2 linked regions of the Arabidopsis thaliana genome follow. The protein of the gene in region 1 interacts with the protein of each later gene in a pairwise test. Each region holds a gene or a part of one and is shown on either strand. Other genes may lie near its edges.

Region 1 (7,498 bases):
GATTATTAGTCTTGATTCCATGGATATCAGTGGGGAGAGGCACCTTGATGTGGTATGTCCTGGTGAATTGTTTTGTTCCATTACGTTTGTTTTTTTCTTTTCAAATTGAGATTATGTGTGTGTTTACTTTGTCTGATTTTGGATTCTGTTCGTTTGTATGGTGCAGCGACATGACATTATTAAAAGGAGATTAGACTCTTCTGGCAATGTCATCGAGGCAAAACAAGACGGAATTGGTCATACTAAGGTTGGTTTTTCTATGGTTTTGAAATTTTTCATTTTCATGTGTCATCTCTGATCTCATTGCAAGAAGTTTTAAGAGATTGAAAGTGTTGAAGTTCTGTCTTGTTTGCTTCGTTATGTCTCTAATTACCTAATGTTATTGTTTATCCATAGATTGAAAAACCTTTACAAAAACATGGTGGAAGGTTGGAACACAATGAAACATACTGTGGTTCCTGTTTTGGAGCAGAAGCGGTAAGCTTCCCTAAATTATTCTAAGAATATGCTCTGACAAGCGATATTGGACTTTAAGTTGCAGTAGAGAATATTCAACTGAGTTCTTTAGTGTTGATTCAGTTAATTTACATTTTAGTTTCTTCTATGGTGGTGAAATGTTTTTTATCCTTGTTACATGTTGTGGTTGTCATTGCTTACATGTTACAGTCAGATGATGCTTGTTGTAATTCATGTGAGGAAGTTCGCGAAGCTTACCGAAAGAAAGGTTGGGCCCTCTCGGACCCTGAATCAATCGACCAGGTATACTGACGTTCCTTCACTAACAACAAAATTGGGTTGATCTTGGTACTTAGTTTGAAACAAATAGTGACACCTTGTTTGGCACTAAAATGGATATATCTAAAGAAACCATGGGTATCTGGTCTTTCGTTTCAGCTATCCCCACATCTAGTTGTATGATATTCTTACTCATCATTTCATTTCAGTGTAAAAGAGAAGGCTTTGTGCAAAAGGTAAAAGATGAAGAAGGTGAAGGTTGTAATGTTCACGGTTTCTTGGAAGTTAACAAAGTTGCTGGGAACTTTCATTTCATTCCTGGGCAAAGCTTTCATCAATCCGGTTTTCAATTTCATGATATGTTATTGTTCCAGCAAGGCAACTACAATGTAAGAAAAGTTTTATTTTTGTTTCATTCTCTCTTTATAAGCTCATATTTCAAATGGGTCTTGACTCTATTATATCATTACACAGATTAGCCACAAGGTCAACAGGTTGGCCTTTGGAGACTTTTTCCCCGGTGTAGTGAACCCTCTTGATGGGTAAAAACTCAATTATATAGCCATTACTCGCACCTGTTATCGCTTTTTCAATAATCCTATCTTCTGAAACATTCTCTTGGTTCTCTCAGTGTGCAGTGGAATCAGGGGAAACAGAGTGGCGTCTATCAATACTTCATCAAGGTTTGCTTCATTTGTACATTATATCTATAGACAATGCTCTCACCTGGGACAATAGTTTAGGTACAAAATTTTGAGATTCCTAAAAGGCTCATTATTAGCTCAGGTTACTGATAGAGAAGTACAAAGACATTAATACATTATGCTTGTTGACCAATGCAATAAGAATTTCTTTATCGGTAGCTTTTGCATGCTAGAAAGATTGTTGAGCGTAGGGATAAAGAATGGATTGTGGTGTTGAATTTCAGGTGGTACCAAGCATATACACCGATGTTCACCAGAATACAATACAGTCAAACCAGGTAAATCCCACATCCCCAAATCTCTATATAAAAATCTTTGTCATTTTCTTCTTGTAAAATCTAACCTATGAGTTTTTGTTTTTAACAGTTCTCTGTGACAGAACATTTCCAGAACATGGAAGCAGGTCGCATGCAATCTCCGCCTGGTGTTTTCTTCTACTATGATCTATCGCCAATTAAGGTCTGTTCGTTTTTTCTTTTTCTTTTTCCAAGTCGTGTTCTTAATACCAACGGAGACTATATCTCTAGAAACATTTTAACTTTTGATTGTTGGCTAGGTGATATTTGAGGAGCAACATGTGGAGTTCTTGCACTTCCTAACAAATGTTTGCGCTATAGTAGGAGGTAATCAATATATATATCCCTTCTCCATTCAATTTAAACATACCCTACTGATATGTTTATCATCAAATTCAAAACTAAAATTATACCTTTGATTTGCAGGTATCTTCACGGTATCGGGAATAGTAGATTCGTTCATATACCATGGACAACGAGCAATTAAGAAGAAAATGGAGATTGGTAAATTCAACTGAGTTGTTTGATATTCTCCACACTTTCTTGATCAGCTACTGGAGAATCATCTCTACGGGTTTTACAGTTAGACATTAGGTTTGAATTTGTGACAATGCGATGATTTAAAGAATTTTGTAGTACTGTAAGATATTCCAGGATCTGAACTTTGCCTTTCACTATTCACTATCTCTTCATAGGCAACATACAAAGTGTAAAATGTTGTTATCACCGATTGAAACGAATGTTAATTTTTCCTATTTAATTTGAGCTCATTTGTTTAAAGTGTAGTCTAAATCTGAAGATACCGATCTTGCTTTATGTTATTAAACTAAAGCCTTGTTTTTTTAAGTGTCTACGTTTGTTGATAATCAGAGAAAGTGGTTTCTTAGATTAGCTTAAAGCCATGGATTGAAATACACTAAAGTTGATTCAGGATGCTTCCTCATTTACAGTCTAAGCAACACTTCCAGAATTTAGTTATTACGAGAAGTGAGTTACATGTTTTGTAGATTTAGAAGGAGTTTTTGCAGTTTCATACCAATCAAGTTTTTATAGTTAAGGAATTTAGTTTCTTCTACTTTGATCGTTGTTCTTTTGTGCCAATTTAACTTGAACTAAGAAAATCAAGGAACTACAAAAATTACATAAGAAATCTCACACGGTCGAAGCATGCCAAAAAAAAACAGCTTGGACCGACGCAGAGATTAACACTAATTAACATCAAAGTAGATAAACTTATTTGATATTAACATAACAAACCCCCTTAATAATAATAAAATCTCTGCAATGACCAAAAACTCCATCGCAGAGAGCTCTAAAGTCCCTAAAATACCCCTATGGCAACATCTAATTTACAAGACTCGAACACTGAAGAATCGAATCCCAATCGATCTCGTACGACGGATACTTCTCCAACGCGTTCTCGTTCCACGGCGGCTGAATCTCCTCCTCCGTATCACCAAACGTCAGCTCCGACAACGGCGAAGAAGATCCACCAGATCCATAACTCTCCGTTAACAGCGGCGAAGATCCGGCGCTAGAGTAGTCCTCCTCCGGTAGTTTCACTGCGACGGTTGATGAACGTTTCCGAGAAGAAGACTTCTTCGTTGATCTCACCTGTTTCTGCGTCGTCTCAGCTAAGTTTTGACAAATAGCTTCAAGCTTAGCGTCGACTGATGATTGAAGAGGTTGATACTCGTCGTTATGACGGAGATCAGGGAAATTAAGCCGCGCAAAATCTCCTCGGAGCTTATACGCCGCCTTGTCATAAGCTAAAGCAGCTTCCTCCGCCGTGTCGAATGTTCCGAGCCAAAGTCGAGTTCGATTCCTCGGTAAACGAATCTCAGCCACCCATTTTCCCCAGTGACGTTGTCTCACTCCTCTGTATAGCTTCGTCGGTTTAGCCGCGGAAGTACCGGTTTGTTTCATTGAGACCGGTTTAGGACTAAGATGGTGAGAAAATGAGTGGAGATCCGACCCGTATGAAATTGGAGCGGGTAGAGAGAACGCAAACGCGGATGAATCGTTGGAAGGGCTTTTGATAAAAGGTAAAAGCGCTTCCATTAATTCACCACCGAATGGATCAGATTGTTGAAACGTTTTGTTACTGTAAAAATCCATAGAAGTTGTCATTTCTAATAAAAAGAAATTTTTTTCCCTTGTTCTTGTAAAAAAAGTAAAGAACAGGATTTTTTGTTTTCAAGAAAATCGAAAAAGAGGTTTATAAAATAAAAAACCTCTGTGTAGATTTCTGAGAGGAGGGAATTAAAAAAATACCCTCACAAACGATTAATTCTACAAAGAAAAAAAAACACAAGAAGATCAAAAATAAAAAAAGATTGATCTCTTTAAGAAAATACAAACCAAGAAATCAGTTTTCTTCTATACGAAAGACAGATTACTAACAGAAATGAATCAAAGTAGCGGGAAATAAACAGATCTAAGGGGGATGGATTTGTAAAGAATAAAAGTTAAGGAGAAAACCAGAAAGTATATCAACTTTTTTTTTTGGTTACACTCAAGTTTTTTTTTTTTTTTGTAAGTGAATAACTCTCAGCCTCACCGATACACTTATCTCATTAGCTTGGCTCTTGTTTATATAGGAGGCGTGGCGTGACTTCTTTTTTCCATCCTCCTCATATTTCTCAAATTTATATGTTTAATTAATTTTTTCTTTTGTTATTTTATGTACTATTTCAGATAAGATCATCCATGTTTACGTACTCCAAATAATATATATTCAATTTCAATCAAACATTGTTTGTAAGTTGAGTTTTAACAAGTTTTGTTTTAGAATGGTTAATTTTTACAAGTTAAAATGTTTCTACAAGTTTATTCTATAATCGAAGCGTTTTAATTTTACAATCATAGTTTGATGGAGAATCATTTCATTATATTACATTCACACCGGCTTTATGGGACGTTTCTTCCATAACCATATTAATCTTTTTTCTATTCAAATAGAAGTGAGTGGACGTACACAACTCCATAAATTTTAAAAGATTAGTTAAAAAAATGGTTGTCTACTCATTTAGCTAGACGTCTTTCTAAGCGGTTGAAACTAATGTACACGAGCACTTCGATTCCAGCCAAATTGATAAAATTGAAATCAACATATTTTTACGATTTATTTGGTAGAGGCGTCCAACAATTGGTCCACTAGTCCAGCTAGTAGATTTAGAATTCTTTTGTATATATGCGAAAACAAAACTTCTGAAAATTTTCAATAAAATGGAACTGAGAGAATATTAAGAATGAGATTATCCAAATTAATAGTATATATTGAAGTATATCAAACCGAAAAAGTATAAAAATAATTATTCGGAGGTTCCGAATGTGACACACGTAGACTTCATGATTGTTAAGCAATAATTTTGGCTCGCAATGTAATGATGATATCATGTTAATGAGTGGTTTAGACTTTTATTTAGATAATAAATCATACAAGATTAAAAAAGAAGGGTCTAGAGGGTTAGAATGAATGGCTGAGAACTCCTCAAATGTCAATTCCGTATTATATCATCCATTTAATTAGTTTATTAAACATTTCATCATCTTACGATATCTTATAGAGTTGCATCACTTAATTTATTGCTTCGTGTAATCGTGTACAAATGTCACTACAATCAATACGGCGTCAATTTGCAAGGTTAGACTATGGTGTCATCATTTTATAATGATCAATATTTTGAGGGAAGACGCGCATAAGGAGGTACCACCCATGTGGATGGCTCGTGTCCGTGTTACCAGTTCATCTTTACGATGCTGATTTATCTCGTTTACATGTATTATCATATGCATGTATATTTCGTACTTGCTTGCTTTGGTGAACATTGCATATGTGTAATAACTTGTCTAAGCGTTATTTTTCTTATACTTTGTTATGTATTTTTGATAAAAGTCAACTTTCAGTATTGATATCTACATTTAATGCAAAAACTGAATAAGAAAAAGACCAATTAGCTAGACCATAAATTAACCACTCATATAGCTACAAACCTATAAAACTATGGTTAAACAAATTGTAAAGAAAGAAAAAAAACTCTACGCATGAGAAAAGGGAAAAGCAAGAAAAACTCCAACGCATGATTTCATAACCGTAAGCCGAGCGTGTCCACAGGGGAAATGAAATAGTCAACTACAAAATCATTACTCAAGTCTTAGCTGTATGTAATAACTGACAGCTTTTTGCTGCCTATTTTTCTCCTTTTGAATTTTTCTTTTTATTCAAAATCATATATATATGAAAATTGGCCTACACTCTCCATATAAATGATACATCATCACACAAAAAAATGACATGTGTCATTCTATATTAATTAAATAAAAAAACTAGCAAAACTAATTGAGAAAAAATTAAAAGTCTTTTGTTGTGTTAATCTCACTCTTAAATGAATTTTCTAAAAAACATTCGATAAATAAAAAGTCATAATAATGTACCAAGCACTACTTTCATTTTATTCTACTTATTTTATTAAAAACATTTAATCAATAATCATTAATCTATAATGGCTAAAAATTTACTTGTGTTGTAGTTTAGATGTTTGCTACCTAACCTCATATTAATTTAGTAATTTTAGTTAAATATTTTATTATTATTATATTTTGTGAATTTGATTTATCATATGAACTTCTTTCGGTACATTTTGTGTGTTAAGATAATTTTGTAACATTGATATATAATTTTTTCACGTAATAGTCATCCTAGACATTAGACATACCAAAAAAACAACAACATGTGACTTTATATGATTATATGGTAGGGATAAGAATTAAAATGTTGACTTAAATTACTAGCATATCAGGATGTGATTGTGTACTAGATAACGAGATAATATATGGAATAAAGAATTGTTTGTTACAATTAAGTTAGACAAGTTTTAAAATACATAAGTAATATAACTACTTATATCAGTATATCATTTACTGTTATAGTATGTGATCATGATAGTGAAATATTAGAATAATAAATATATAAATATTCATATTGTAGTTGAATTGATATTTTGAGTTATAGATGAATCTAATCATAAAAAATAATAATTATATTAAATGGATGAATTTATCAAAATGAACATCTTTTTTTTTTGTCAAACAATCAAAATGAACATCAAAATCAACAAAAAACCATAATCATATTTTTCCGACAATTTTAAAAACAAAAATCGATGCGTAGCATGGGTGTTCATCTAGTTTATTTAAACAATAATACTTTATTAGTGTACTCTCAAGTTCTCTGACATTTTTTTTTTATTGGGGGCAAATGAAATGACTGACATTTTTGCATTGTTGTTCCTTAACTTGTCTATAAAAGTAGTTGTTTGATAGCTAGATTCACTGCATCTAAATCAAGTAATATAATAGTACATACATGTCATTTTTAGGATTTTTGAGAAATATTTGTAAATCGTAAAGAAAAAAGGTAGATCCGATTTGTGACTAATTTGGTCGAAAAGAAAAGAAAAGAAAAGAAGGTGGATCTGATTGGATTTTTGCTTTTGGTATGAACTTTTGCAATTTAATGCTCATAACGCGGTTTCCGTCAAACGCGTCCGTTTTATCTGTCGAAGTCAAACAACCGTTGCGAATCTGCCACGTGTTCACCCTCAAAGGTCCATTTTGTACTGTTTATCTGACTAGCTCACCTTAAAAGGCTTATTAAACTCCACGTGTCTTTTTGACCTCTTGACTTTGAATGATCTTACTAGTTTACAATTGTATTTTCTCACCTAATTTAATTAACACTAATACGTAAAATGAGAAATA
Region 2 (7,822 bases), on another chromosome or scaffold:
TTTTTGGGTATTTTGATTTTTGTTTGGAAAAGTAATATACTAAAATGGATAATACGAATACTCTCTCCCACACTTAATCCAAATGGATAGACATAATTGGGTGAGAAGGAAATCTAAATAGCTTTATTGTACATTCCCTTAATAGAAGTTAAACTCTTGAGTCTTCTTAAGTTAATAAATTTATTGTGGGACAAACTAAACCAAGATAGATTTTTGTGTTCATATGAGCTTGTTAAAGTAGAAATCTAAAATTGAAAATAAGATGGTTCATTAAGTTTAATTGTGCAAGAAATCGAAAAGAAGAAAATATTCAGATTGTCACCACGATTAAAGTGGTTCTTTGACTGGTCTCATACAAAGCAAAAAAAGAAGAAGAGAGAGTTAACACAAGAAGCAACTCCTAAAGATAACTTCCCTTCTTCTCATTATACAAATCTATATAAATCTATTTTAATGACAACCCTAAACATATGGGCTAATAAGTTATTTCTATGACAATGAGTTTTTATTTTGGACAAACTTCTATGACAATGATTAAGTGTTCCAATAACTGCAGTTTGTTTGACCAAGATTTTGATTCCAATTTTTAATTTTTATTCGATATGCAATTATTAAAATCCGACTCAACCCCAAATTACGACCCAAATTCAACTAACAAACACGAATGGGATGGAGATTGATTTTTTTTTTTAGTGAATTAGGATGGGGATTGATTTTCTGTCTGGAAATGGAATAGGTTGTTGGGAACGAAAAAGCAATCTACTAAATACTCTCTATTGTACCTTCCCTTGATACAAAAGTTAAACTCTAAGTTAATGAAATTGTAGTTAGGCCAAAGTTTTTTTTCTGTTTAAGGGCAAATTATAATTATTTATTAATTGTTTATCAAAAATAAAATATCGGTCAACGCATAATTCTGACAACCGAAGTAGAATGGTTATGGTATTGGCAACATAACTTATATTTATTTGTGTATGTCGGTATGTTATAACAATATATAGTGTAGCTAACAAGACATTTTTAAAGTATGCATGTGTGACTAGATGATGACATCTCTTTCGTATAAGTAGCAAACATTTATCCATTTTTGTGCTCATATAAACTTATTAACATAAAAATCTAAAATTGAAAATAAGATAGTTAGTTAAGTTTTATTGTGCAAGAAATAGAAAAGAATAAAATATTGGGATTGTCATCAAGATTAAAGTGGTTCCTTGATTGATCTCACCAAAAAAAAAAAAAAAAGAGACTTCTACGAGAGGCAACTCCTAAAAATACTTCTCTTCTTCTTATCACACAAATTATGAATCTGTTTTGATGGAAACCTAAACACATGGGTTAATGAGCTATTTCTATAACAATGATTGGGTTGCTCTACTAATTGTAGTTTGTTTGACAAAGATTTTTATTCCACTTTTATTTTTTGTTCGATAATTCCTTATCCAAACTTGATTTAAACCCCAATTTTGACCTGAGTTCAACAAATAAACGCAAACTTAGCGAACAGGATGAGACAAATTTTCTATCTCGAAATAGATTAAATAGTTATTAAAAACTTATTCTTTTTATCAGGATTCTTTTGTTCTATTCCTTTCACAACTTTGAATTCTTTGAAGCACTTTTGTATAAAATCACAATCATTTTGTTCAGATTTTGGGAGCTGGAACTGAAGTGTTGTTTCTAAAATCTTATCAAAGGGATGCATGTTGTATTGCTTTTGTGTCGCTTATTAAACTTTCAATTTGCACCCAAACGAGAAATAAGATCAAATCCTCTTGTTTTCATTTAGATTTGTGTTGACATTTGTGTTAGTTTCTTAGTGTAAAGGAACAAGTTTGTGTTGACATACATTCTTTCTTCGTTTTTTCAGTGGCAATTGACAGTTCCTTACTTGCTACTTCCTCTAAGATTGTCACTTACTTGATAAGATGAACAACGATGATGTAAGTTTCTTTTTTTTTTCTAATGTTATAGAATTGTATGATTGAGAATTGGATGTTTTTTCCTGAATTTAGAATTGGTCGGACGAAGAGTGTTGATATTTTCTTCAACTTTGTACTGCTGAGGAAAAAGGGAATAGAAGAAAGACGAGATTAAATATAACTGGAAAAGAGTCCATCATGAGATAGTTTGAAGAAAAATTTGGGAAGAGATATTCATGGGATAAACAATTCAAGAACAAGTATGATGTGCGTAGAAGAACATACACAAAGGTTAAAAACTTGCTTCATAACAGAACTGAAATTACATATGATTCTGTGTAAAGAATAAATATAATTTTTCTTTTCATTACGTTTACCTAAGTATTTAAGAAAGCAAGTAAACATACTTTTAATAACTAAAGGTCGCTGAAAATTCTAAAAATTGTAACGTGAATTCTCAAAACTGTAAAAACTGATTCTTTTTATTGTACCCTATATGTTAACGTTAATTCTCATAACTCTAAATTCTTATTTTTCCATCAAAATCATGACGTCAATCAAACTGTTAAAAGGCGAGATACAAATATAAATATTGTACTAATATTGTTAATCTGAAATATCTACTATTCAAACATATTTGTTTGAAGTATATCATATTACATGATACATTTTTTGGTGATGAATCAAATTGATGAATAAACATTTCAATATGAAATTTACTTGTTTTTGAATAATTATGTAATACTTTTTTTTATTAGTTATATTTTGTAAAAAAATATAATATTTTATTATAAATTTCATCAATTGACACATATTCATTCATGACAATTTTTTTATCAAGCTTGAGATCCTCAAAATGGTTTTATCATTAGTTATATTTAAAATTTTAACATTAAATCATAATAATATAAAAATTTGGTGTTTTTCAGTTTTCTAAAATTATAAATTATATTATTTTGGTATTTTGTATTTACCGTTATCGCACATGCTAGTTAACCAACTATAAAACTTCAACAAACGTAAAATTTAACCGCTAAATCAATCATTTAAAATATATGATAACTCTTAAAACCGCAACTCTCCGTTTCCATAAATTTCAGCAGTCTGCATTTGAACCATTCAAGCCTCGTAGTTTGGTCAAGAACCGATTACGCGGCCAAATCTTATATCCGACGCTAAGTCGCTAACCATGTGGAAACCATTATTTATCAATAGAAATCAAAACGACAAAACCCGACCTAAACCGAAATCTCAAATTCGAACCCAAATCCAACTTACAAACCTGACCTTAACCGGAAATCAGAATCCGAAAACATTTTCCCTTATAGCAAGGTTTAAAGAAAGCAATAACAAAACCCTATCTCTCGTCTCTTCTCCCCCAAACTCTCGCCGCCGTGATAACCCAAAGTTCTCGACGAAGCCATGTCTACCGGAGAAGAAGGTCACATGGCGATGGCAGATAGAGGCTCTAGAAAGAGAAGAGTCGGCGTTAAGAAAGGTACTAAAGCGGCGAGGAACAAAAAGCAAAAATCAAAACCTTCTACTTCCGATAGGTTTAAGGTTACAATGAAGAATCAAAAGCTATTTCAGAAGAGAGCACGAGATTACAATTCCGATGACGATGAAGAAGAAGATGATGAATCGAAGAAACAACCAGAAGTAACAATTCGTGAGAAGATCTTCTCTGATGCTAACATGGGACCAAATTACGAAGAGATTGGAGAAGAAGATAATGATGAGAATTCAGATGGTGAAGATCATGGAGAGATTGAATCTGGAATCACTAAGTTTGCTACTGATGGATGTAATGCTTTCAAAATCGCTTTTAAAGCTATTATGAAGAAGACTAAAGGAGATGATACATTGGTGAGATTTTATAGCAGATTCTAGTTTTGAGTTTTGATTTGGGAATATAGTGTTGAACTGTGTTGGTGTTGTGTGTAATAGGGCCCAGTTTTATCAGCACATAAGCATCTTATTGGAGAGAAGCTAGCTGAAGATGAAGCTGAAAAGAAAGCTAAAGGTCAAGCTAGAAAGGCTAAACATTTGGTATGAGTTTGGTTGTTGTGTTCACTATTCGTTTGTGTTCTTGTGTTTTAGATGATGATTTATCTTAACAATTGCTTTTTTAAGATTGCTGAGAAGGGACATGTTAAACCTGGAAGTTATTTGGATTCTCATGAAAAGATTCTTATTGGTGTTGCTACTAAAGGAGGTATTGTTGCTTTGGTTAAACTCTCTGTTTCTTGAGATTGTTTGGTTTTTTTTTTTTGTTTTAGTATTGACTCTTTTTTTCCTCTCCATGAACTTGTGGTATCACAGTGGTCAAGCTTTTCAATGCTGTAAGTTTGTTTCTATGTCTATTTTTGAGGTTTTTATTCTCCGGTAGTGATTCGTATGATTCTTAGTTTATGTTTTTCAAATAGGTCAACAAGGCTCAACATGCTCAGAAGGGTTTGAATCCTTCAAGGTCTAAAGACGCTAAAGGTAGGCTTAGAAATTGATCGTTGGCATGAATCCACTGTCTTGTTCTTATCTTCTAATTCTCGTTTTTTATCCTATTGGAACATCCATCAGTGCTGAAGAAGCGAAGAAAAGAAGCATTCTTGTCTGAGTTAGGGAAAACAAAAACAGACACCAAGGTTTGGCATAGTCTCCATATCTCTTACTCTCTCTCTTTCATTATGATTTATCTTGAGAGTTTATTCCTTAGCCGTTTGATGCACGTAGAAACAAGTTAGTATTCTGTCTTGATCTAGCTCCTATAGAGAGTCACGAAAAGAATCACCTCATGAGTGAGTGATAGATGTTAGTTATAAATCAGAAGTATTCTTAGTAAATTACTAGTAACAATTTTGAATGTTCTTAAAGCCTTCAACTTTGGATGAACATAGAAGCAAGTTAGTATTCTGTCTTGAGCTGGCTTCTATAGAGAAAGGATCACCTTCAGTAGCGAGAGCCGTTAGTTATAAGTCTAAAGTATTGTTGGTTAGTTAACTAGTGATATTCTGTTGGATGGTGCAGGCTCACAAATCTGAAGACGAAGCTCCTGTTTGGGCTCCTCTACGAGATAATTACATGTTAGCAAACCCAAAACTGAAGGACTGGGACAAGAAACAGGTATCTCTTCATTCTTATCCACAAATCTGGAATCACATAGCTTGCATACTGATTTATACTCTTTGATCTGAAACTTAAAATTGAATTGTCCGCAGGAAACAAGCGAGGGAGATGATTTTGCCGGTTTGTCAGGAGATGAAAGTTATGAAGACTGAAGAGTTTAAACTAGTAGTTAAACGAGCAAACTTTAATTTTGCCTTTGTATCATGCAAATTTTGTCTGATCAATATGAATGAATTCAGTTTTTTGATAGTGCAAAAGGATCCTGAAAGGTTGTGATTCTTGTGGTTACGCTTTTAGAAAATACACTTGTTAGTATCATTAACCAATACCGTAAATATAGAAGTGATGATACTCCAAACTTCTACATGGTTATTATTTATATGACGTAAAAAAAATATACATTCGTTGTTTTGCCTTGGCTACACAAATTATAATAGGACAAAATTTAAGGATCATGAACCTGAATCTGTAGAAGAGTTTCTAGTTTCACAGTCAAGTCATGATGCCAAATGACAGAAGAAGATAACAAACTTTATGCAAAAAATGAGGCAGAACTGCAGAAGCATGCGCCTTTCTAAGCAAGTATGACGCTTTTGAGGCGGAGAACTCGTGTTCCTTTTCAACCAATAATGGCTTCCAGATCCATCGCTGCCAATTAGTTGCATCTCTGTCTTATATCTCCACTTTGTGATCTTTCATTGTTTTGAGGTTTTATCCTCAGTAGCTTCTTGTTGGGCTCATCGGGTCGTAATCATAAGCTTCACCGGACTTGACAAACCGTCCTTTCACACGCCGTCTCACATCAGCCCTTTCTTTCCTAGAGACATACCTTACTCGCTTGTCAAACCTATTTATACAAAATATGTTAAATATTAGCTATAACAACTTTCAATGATGAATTAAATTCCTTTCTGTGTGCGTTTATACTTACTTGCGAGCCTTCTTCTTTTCCTTGTAACGCATAACAGCGTTATTACGTGTTGTTGCATGTGAGGAAGCAATAATGTCCTGTGCTGTTGGATGGCACCATGGTTGTGGCTCCCTTGAAAGCTGCTTCATCGATGACGCCCCACAATCTTGGAAATCTCCAGCATTACTTTCTCCAGTGATGCCAGAGAAGGAGATATTCGAATGTGCTGGCTTTGATGAATAGCAAATTATTGGCTCGGTTCTACAAGTCATGAACGAATCTGCAGATGCATTATTGCTTAATGCTGGCTGCTGCATTGAGCCCTGAATTGAGAAAACACACAAAAGAGCATAAGGATCACAGAAAAAAATCATCCTTAACTTTAGTGATACTAGTCTCAGATAGAAGAAGAAGGTTGACAAAACCTCATGAGCTTCATCTTTCTCGAAAAGACTTCCAATTCCACCGTGCTCGAAGAGATATCTTGATGAGTTGAAGGCTGAACCAAAGAGTTCTTCATAGTTCTCAAGAGCCAAGTCTACTTCATCTGAAATGAGATTTCCATTGAAGTCATCCTCACATACTCCAAGCTCCTACAACCAGTACAATAATAAGAAACATTTAGACGCTAGTTGCTTTCAAGATCTTACCACAATATGAAGAAAATCATGTTAAAATACCTTAGCCATTGATGAATTTTCTGGAACACTAGAGTGATCCATACCTTGTGCAGCCGAACTGGTTTCAGGCTGTTCTACATTAATTTTTTGGACACCAGATTTTTCTCCTGTGCCATCTTCATCTATAGTCATCAAACCCATTCCTTGCTCACAAGCGGATTCTTCAGCAGAAGAGATATTCAAATCCATACAGAAAGACCATATCGAGGATAATTCGGCACTCGAGGGACAACCAGAATAACAATTGATGGTTTGCCTTTTATGATGTGAAGTAGTAGTAGAATTCTTGCCGTCATGGCCTGACCAATCACAGTTTTGACATAGAGAAACCCTCTCATCACTACACCGGACAGAAGCTGGCTGTGCATTACACCTCTCACATACCAAAGTCCGCGAATGACGTTTCGATAGAGCATTAGCAGAATGAACATTACGGTCACACGAAAGACACAAACACGCTGCATCAGATCGACAATACACCATTGATCTTTGTTCACCACAGAAATCACACATATAACCCATCTTTCAACCAATCTCAACCGTCACACTGAAGAAAGCAAGCTCCTTTCACTAACAAAGAATCAAACCATTTTGGTTAGTCCCTTATATCATAATCTTAGAAGGAAAAAAACTTACCACAATACATTAAACAACTAACAAAAGCTTGAAACTTGGTATCGAAAGCAAGTCCAGAATTAGATAAAAGTCCAATCTTTTTAAACATCTCTTCCTCAAAGATTGTAACTTCCTATGGATGAGACTGTTCTAAATCAAAGACCAATCAAAAGAGACATCAGAGAAACCAATTAACATCGCAGAAAGACTTCAAATTTCAGATCAACATGTACCAATCAGAGAAGTGAGCTAAAAAATTATAGATTTCTTATTACAAATCCGAGAGAAGTGAAAGAAGATCCATTTCAAGATCAGTCAAAAAGGATTGAGAATCAAAGCAACCCTCACTAAAATAACAAGACAAGGGTTTTAAAGAGCTCACGTAGGAGAGATCGTCAAGTATCTTCTGAAGCAGAGACACCAAAAATGAATGACTTTTGAAACGAATAAGCGATGATTCCACAAATTTCTTCTTTAGCTGCGTGTGAAGAAGGGTAAAAGGAGAAACAGATGGATAGACAATGGGTGGGTTGTGTCTGCAAAGGGACATGTAGGCAGAGGCATGTGACATA

Evidence for each region. Proteins that work in one complex are often made in the same cells at the same time.
Region 2: the proteins of AT1G22190 (region 1) and AT5G48240 interact in a two-hybrid assay, tested with the Arabidopsis thaliana proteins (one large-scale study listed by BioGRID).

What each region holds. Positions count from the first base shown.
Region 1 is NC_003070.9:7,832,612-7,840,109, reverse strand, and holds AT1G22190 (Integrase-type DNA-binding superfamily protein), read right to left. Parts: upstream 4,330-7,498; 5' UTR 3,866-4,329; coding exon 3,080-3,865; 3' UTR 2,699-3,079; downstream 1-2,698. Other genes in the region: AT1G22200 (Endoplasmic reticulum vesicle transporter protein), read left to right, coding at 1-52, 167-247, 397-477, 667-759, 945-1,124, 1,210-1,277, 1,367-1,418, 1,664-1,717 and 3 more.
Region 2 is NC_003076.8:19,555,957-19,563,778, forward strand, and holds AT5G48240 (Rrp15p protein), read left to right. Parts: upstream 1-3,286; 5' UTR 3,287-3,344; coding exon 3,345-3,788; intron 3,789-3,869; coding exon 3,870-3,971; intron 3,972-4,055; coding exon 4,056-4,137; intron 4,138-4,244; coding exon 4,245-4,264; intron 4,265-4,348; coding exon 4,349-4,409; intron 4,410-4,499; coding exon 4,500-4,564; coding exon of another isoform or gene 4,565-4,635; coding exon 4,636-4,721; exon of another isoform or gene 4,722-4,816; coding exon 4,817-4,871; exon of another isoform or gene 4,872-4,946; coding exon 4,947-5,042; intron 5,043-5,137; coding exon 5,138-5,197; 3' UTR 5,198-5,319; downstream 5,320-7,822. Other genes in the region: BBX8 (B-box type zinc finger protein with CCT domain-containing protein), read right to left, coding at 5,763-5,892, 5,977-6,278, 6,381-6,548, 6,636-7,157.